Linked DNA regions of Saccharomyces cerevisiae S288C. Changing the gene in region 1 together with any one later gene gives a genetic interaction. Each region holds a gene or a part of one and is shown on either strand. Other genes may lie near its edges.

Evidence for each region.
Region 2: mutations in PWP1 (region 1) and BRX1 together harm fitness more than expected from each alone (negative genetic interaction), as found in Saccharomyces cerevisiae (2 studies listed by BioGRID).

The regions. Positions count from the first base shown.
Region 1 is NC_001144.5:541,816-546,263, reverse strand, and holds PWP1 (rRNA-processing protein PWP1), read right to left. Parts: upstream 2,297-4,448; coding exon 566-2,296; downstream 1-565. Other genes in the region: snoRNP complex protein NOP56, read right to left, coding at 1-167; glycylpeptide N-tetradecanoyltransferase NMT1, read left to right, coding at 2,960-4,327.
Region 2 is NC_001147.6:185,299-188,601, forward strand, and holds BRX1 (ribosome biogenesis protein BRX1), read right to left. Parts: upstream 1,426-3,303; coding exon 550-1,425; downstream 1-549. Other genes in the region: ATP19 (F1F0 ATP synthase subunit k), read left to right, coding at 140-346; MDM20 (Mdm20p), read left to right, coding at 1,726-3,303. UniProt on the Saccharomyces cerevisiae protein: Required for biogenesis of the 60S ribosomal subunit.

The DNA.
Region 1 (4,448 bases):
AATGGCGCGAAAGATACAAGTTCGATTAACTTTGTAAAAGCACCAAAATCATTGATTTGCTCTTGAACTTCTTTTAATCTTGAACCAATGTCATCTTGTTGCAACTTAACCTTGAAAACTGCGTAACCAGTAGGTTCTTCAAACAGTAGGTATTCAATAGGAGCCATCTTTCACTAAATACTGTTCTGCACGCTTCTTCTCCTAGAAATATACCTTCCAAAACACTTTTAATAACTACTTAAAAAACTGTAGACACTACGCAATTGCACAAAATTTTTCATTTCCCATCTCATCACTCAAAAAAATTTCACTTTGAAAAAAAAAAAAAAAGAAAATTTTCACATCGCATTCTACGAGCGTATATATGCCGGGTGATATAAAAAAGTTACACAACTGTAATTCACCACATTGTCATCATATGCTAAATTATACCGTAACAGCACATATTAATGTATTATATTGTTTTTTTCTGAGGCTCCTCTTACACTAGTATACAGTATTATCTTCTATAGATTTTTTATTTGTACTTGCAATGTACTCTGCTTTAATATTTTTCATATCCAGATTATGCCATGTCATCATGCTCATCTCCACCTTCTCTTTCTTCTTCATCTTCACCTTGATCATCAATGGTTATAACAGTATCTGGGTTATCGTTACTGGTGTATTTTCTGGCGATTCTTGAACTTTTTCCTATTTTTTGGGCTTCTTCTTTTGCTCTTGCTTGAACATTCTCTAGTTCACTTTTAAAGCTCTTACGTACAGATCTATTGGTAAAAACGTCCCATAGTTTCAAAACTTTATTGACACCACCAATGACCATGGTACCCGCTACCTCGATGTCTGGAGCGAATGACGATGTCAATACATTTCCGACATCGAAATCACGAGACAGAACCATGCTTGGGCCCTTAGTGTTCGTAGCATCATCCAAGGGGAATTTCCATAATTTGACAGTCTTTTCACCCATGGCCCCTGTACTCATCATACCAGGGATGAATTTGTTTGAACATAATGTGGAGATACCAGCATCGTGTGCCTTCAATGTCCAAACTGGTTTACGGTTTTCATTGTTTCTAATATCGAAAGAATACACATTACCAGAATCAGTACCACATAATATTATATTTTCACTGGCAAATGTAACAGTTTCTATTTCCTCACCTGCCATGGCAGACCAGTATTTACTCATTTGACTTTCGTCAGAAATTCTAACATCTGTTAAAGCTACTCGAGAATCATAACCACCGGTCAAAAGAATGGAACCATTCAACATGTGCCATTCAGATGATGAAACATTTTTGTTTGAATGAATGGAAGCTAAGGAGCGGGCTGCGTTACCTGAGTTCAAATCCCATAGTTTTACGGTATGATCTGCAGAGGTGGATGCTAAAACGGAACGGAAATATTTGTTGTGTGCCATGGATAAAACAGCATCGGTATGATGAGTAGTAATGTGTCCAGTCTTAGACTTCTTCTTCTTCTTTTTGCTTTTCAAAGACACCATTGAATTATCAAGAGGTTCACCCAGAATCATATCGGGAAAGGCCTTGTCAACACAGTCCAAGTTCCAAATTTCAATTTGTGGATCAAACGTACCAATGGCAGCATAATTGGCTGCTTCTTCGGAATTGGATCCAACCTTGTAGTCAAGCCACTCAACACATAGTGGAAAAGCAGGCAACATTAAATCATGGTGAACGTAAAGTGCAGGGTCACGAACCAATCCACGAGCAACATCTGGGTCAGCTTCATCACCTTCTTCAACGGGAATATCGCTACTGTGGAACCCAGCACCGTCATCGTAAACGTAGATATCCAAATACGAAACGTCATCTTCTGTTCTCGCAGCAAGAACTAAATTATCGGATGGGTAAACTTGTAACTCCTGCTTCTCCTCTTGACTATCCTCTTGATTAGGCAATGAAATATATGGATCTTCACCTTTTTCACCCTCATGGAATTTAACATCGCTATCATTACTTAAACCCGGGAACATGGAAACGTCTTTACCACCCTCATTATCTGCAATTTCCTCATCGTCATATTCTTCCAGGTTATATTCTTTCAAATCATCATCTATATCCAACTGATCCTTCAACTTATTAGAACTACCTGTTGCGGCGTCATCTTCAACACCTGATTCGCCTTCTGCTTCTTCCAAAGTAGCTTTAGCATCATCCAAATTCAACTGTGCTAATTGGTTAATTCTTTCCACTTCCTCATCATCCAGAACATACTTTTCAGGAAATTCCGAGGAAAACCCTCTTGGAACCCAATTAGTAGCAGAAATCATTAGTTATTTTGTTTTTTTTATTCGTCTTCTAAGTTTCCAAATAAGGAAGGCGTAATAGACTCAACTGAGGGTACACTTGCTATCGTTTACAAATTAAAACTCTTTGCTTCTTTCAAACTCATCTCAGCTCATCGAGACAAATTTTTCACTTCTTTTTTTCGAGGGCGAGAAAATTTATTACCCGACTGGATATAATATATATAGAATAATACATATGATCAACTCAAGGTAGGGCCTATGGAAAAGTTTTACAACGGACAAGGCAATTAAATTGAATTGCACGATTCTCTAATTTTTTATTCTTGCAGATTTGTTTCATGATAAATTCGCCAGTTAGAGTTCTTATTATGGGTGGGTAAGAATTCAGTTAACGTTTAAAATTCTCAATATTAATCGCAAAGTGGAAAGCAAAGCAAAGTCTCACTAGAAATTGCAGGCGGACTATGTATAATTACGTAATAGTAGTTCTTGCAACAGAGGATCCTTTCGACTCTTTTGAAAGGATACTGTCATAAAACAATAGGATAAAATAATTTCAGCCGTTGCTCATGATAAAAGTAATTCACTATAATTGAAGATGATATGTGTTGCACGCTTTTTAGAGAATGATCTGTACAATAGCTCTGGTTGTCATAGAGCTTCGGTAGTAAACGTATTTATAGAATGTCAGAAGAGGATAAAGCGAAAAAATTAGAGAATTTATTGAAGTTATTACAGTTGAATAATGACGATACTTCAAAATTCACTCAAGAACAGAAAAAAGCTATGAAAGACCACAAATTCTGGAGAACGCAACCGGTCAAAGATTTCGATGAAAAGGTGGTGGAAGAAGGCCCCATTGATAAGCCAAAGACACCGGAAGATATATCTGACAAGCCACTACCTTTATTGTCTAGCTTCGAATGGTGTAGTATTGATGTGGACAACAAAAAACAGCTTGAAGATGTTTTCGTTCTACTAAATGAAAACTACGTGGAAGACCGCGATGCAGGCTTCAGATTTAACTATACCAAAGAATTCTTCAATTGGGCTTTAAAGAGTCCAGGTTGGAAGAAGGATTGGCATATTGGTGTTCGCGTTAAAGAAACACAGAAATTAGTTGCCTTTATCTCAGCCATACCAGTAACACTTGGTGTTAGAGGTAAACAAGTGCCTAGTGTAGAAATCAATTTCTTGTGCGTTCACAAACAGCTAAGATCGAAGAGATTAACACCTGTTCTAATTAAAGAAATTACGAGACGAGTGAACAAATGTGACATCTGGCATGCATTGTACACGGCAGGTATTGTTTTGCCAGCACCTGTGAGTACGTGTCGTTATACTCATCGTCCCTTGAATTGGAAGAAACTTTATGAAGTAGATTTCACAGGGTTACCAGATGGGCACACAGAGGAGGATATGATTGCTGAGAATGCGTTACCGGCCAAAACAAAGACAGCGGGATTGAGAAAATTAAAGAAGGAAGATATTGACCAAGTTTTTGAGTTGTTCAAAAGATATCAATCCAGGTTCGAACTAATTCAAATTTTCACAAAAGAAGAATTCGAACATAATTTCATTGGTGAAGAATCGTTACCATTGGATAAACAAGTAATTTTCTCATATGTAGTCGAACAGCCCGATGGAAAAATTACAGACTTCTTCTCATTTTACTCATTGCCATTCACAATCCTAAATAACACAAAATATAAGGACCTAGGCATCGGGTACTTGTATTATTATGCCACCGATGCAGATTTCCAATTCAAAGACAGGTTTGATCCAAAAGCTACTAAGGCTTTGAAAACAAGATTGTGTGAATTGATTTATGACGCTTGTATTTTGGCCAAAAACGCTAATATGGATGTTTTTAACGCGTTGACTTCGCAAGATAATACATTGTTCTTGGATGATTTGAAGTTCGGGCCCGGTGACGGGTTCTTGAACTTCTATTTATTTAATTATAGAGCAAAGCCGATTACCGGTGGCTTGAATCCCGACAATAGTAACGACATTAAAAGGCGTAGCAATGTCGGTGTTGTTATGTTGTAGTGGCTGAAAGGACGAGGCGTATATAGTTTTCGTGTACATAGCCGACAGAATTTGACCACATTTAGTTTTTCCGCATAGTCAATTGACGAAGTGAAAAAATAATTAATCCAATGGCTGGCTT
Region 2 (3,303 bases), on another chromosome or scaffold:
TGGTGATTGGTCAGAGTCCGCTTCTCGATGCAAAGGGAAAAAAAAGAGCTTTTTAGGAGCAAGTCCCCCCATAGAGCACATAACTCGTTAGCATTGAATAAGGCCAGGTGACTTCAAATAATAATTTATAACTACGACAATGGGTGCTGCTTATCATTTCATGGGGAAAGCTATCCCTCCACACCAACTAGCCATTGGGACATTAGGACTGCTAGGTTTATTGGTTGTTCCAAATCCTTTTAAAAGCGCAAAGCCAAAAACAGTCGACATCAAAACAGACAACAAAGACGAGGAAAAATTCATTGAAAACTACTTAAAGAAACATTCGGAAAAGCAAGATGCGTAAATATAGCTTGATTGCTGCGCGGTTGAAGATCTTTTGTACATACAATAAATATTCTTTATATATACAGCTTTCGATATTCAAGATTTAAACATTAAATTATTAAAAAGAGGTCTATAACTAGACAGTTGCTACATCCACTCTTTTCTTGTTATATCTTTTTAATATACAATGTTATGTAAAACTCTCTGATAGTATTATGCTTATTATTTAAACAAGGCATCGTTTGATAAAGGATCGGCGGCAAGAACATTCTCTCTTCTCTTAATTTTTCTTTCCACAGCAGCTTCAGCTCTAGACTTTGCCTCCTCAGCAGCTTGTTGTTTAATTTGAGCTCTTACGACGTTTGGCGAAACATATTGTTTATTTTCATAGATCTTTGGACCACCAAATGAACCTTCTAGGATCAAAATGACAGTCATAACAAACCTAGGGCCAATTTCCACTAATGATATGTCTTCTTCGCCATCTTCATATTCTTCTTTGTTCTTAGTACTGTGTGAGATCTCATATGTCCTCACCCATATTTTATCATCTACAATACTGAAGGACATGACGTGATCAATAAATGGCTTAGATTTTCTAGCATTTGGTGGTACACCAAAATTATGCACTAGCAACTCCTTAATTAATTGGTAGTGTGGGGAGGATTCGAAACGTTGATCAAACGACAATACCGGACGAGAACCCTTTAAACAGTTACCTGTAAAATTCAACTCATCCATAGTATGCAAGTTTTGAATGTAAAATTTTATAGTTGGCCCATTTGGCGGCTTGGATAACCATAGATACAAATCTTGGTGTTTTCTGGCCTCAAAGAATAGAACATTATTACAATTGTACAACTCAGCGATTTCGTTCAACTGTTGAAGATCCTTTTTAGTATCCAATTTTGGCTCCTTTCTGGAATGAGGCAATAATCCGCTTAAGTCTTGAATTAAATGACGATGTCTATAGTTAACACCTCTACTCGAAATCAGAAGAGTTCTTTGCTTGTTCATAAATTGCTTGACATTGCCTTGCTTCTTTTCAGATTTATTATCTTTGCTCTTTCCTGCGAGGGCTTTGTAGATAGAAGACATCTTTGGTTGAACTCTTTCAACACCTGACGAATGTATAAAGAAAGACGTGAAGCAAAATAAGGCTAAGTAACCTTCTAACTCGTAAATATTATAGCAATTTCTGTATCTTTTTAGGTGATAGATTCTTTGAGAACCATCGCGATGAGCATCTAAAATTTTTCAGTCACCTTTAACGAAAATCACTGTCCACGGACCGCCGAGGGCTTTAGGAAAATAAATAATAAATGTCAGCTGCAACAGAATTCATTGGCGAAGCAACGATACATAACGAGCTCGGTACAGCAATCATCGCATCGAAGCATGTCCGACAAGATACAGGAGGAGATATTAGGACTAGTAAGCAGGTCCAACTTCAAACAATGCTATGCAAAACTGGGGCAATTGCAAAAACAATTTCCCAATGCGTTGTACTTCAAGATTTTGGAAACCTATGTTAAATTCAAGCAGTCACCTGGTAAGTTCGATTACAATAAACTGCTAGAAGAACCATATGGGCTGAAAGGGACAACGATTACGGGCGACACGCGTTCCTTGGAGTTTTTGCACAACTTCTTCGTAGAGTTAGGGAAATACGACGAAGCATTGCACGTGTATGAAAGAGGAAATTTCAAATTCCCTAGCTACGAATTGTCTTATCACTGGTTTATGAAAGCATTGGAAGATTCCAATTATAACCAAATGAGCAAAGCATCTCTACAGCTAGCTAAATACAGTGACAGTGGAAACCTGCCTAAAAGAGCATATTATTTTTGGAATGCAATCTCGATTTTAGCCGTATCAAGGTTTCAGGAAAACACTCTTTCAGATCCCAAGAAAATTTTGCTCTCCAGGCTAGCGCGCCAGTCTTTGTTAGACTTGAAACCATTTCAAAATGTTCAAGAGATTATAGTTTATTGTTTGGTGTTGGATGAACTATTCCCTCAATCTAGAGAAATCTCGGAAGAGATTGTTGCGATTACCTTTGCCAATTTTGATACTTCAGTAAACTTGTATTTGAAAAACTTTATCTTGAAGCATACCAAGTTATTGAATTCTCCACAAAAACTTTTTGAAGTTTGTTCAAAACTTATTGAAAAGGGCCTTGATGATTATGAATTGATCACAAACTTGATTGATGCTGCCTACAAACTTTCTAAATCTAAAGACGAAGTCAAACAATGGATTGATGAAAATTTGGGAGACTCAAGGAATACTCGATTGGCGCGCTTGAAACTTGATATAATGTACACCGATTCGGTTTCGGAATCATCTTTGTCGTACTATTTATCAAAGTACCATAACAAACCTTGTTGTTCAATCGATTTGAATCATTACAGCGGCCACATTAACATAGATATGCTTAAGAGCATTATGTCTAAGTACGATCCAGAGGATAAGGATTTGATTCATCATTGTAATATTCTAGAATTGGGACTTATTGGAAGCGACTCAATCAATAACTATAACAAGTTTAAGGGGACCCTGGAAAAAAAATCGGTAACGGATTATTCCTCCTGTTCTACATTCTTATTAGAAATAGTCAAGGACAAGTGCAAGAAAACTAATCCTGAATTGAAAGACGTGCTTTTGTGTATAACGATATTGGAAAATTACCAAGCCAAGGACCCTCATAACTTCGATACTATGTGCTGGCTGATTGTTTTATACATGTACCTGGGTTTAGTTCCCGATGCTTATTTCCATTTCATAAACCTAAAGATTAAAAACGTTCAAACAGATTCCCTAGATTACATGATATTCTCGAGATTTTCTACTTTGTTCCCGAATAAACAGAGCGATTTTTACTCCAAGACATTCCATGAACATAATAATTTATACGATACATCACTGGCTAATTTACCAAGATATATTCAGGTGGCATTCGAAAGAAATTCATAT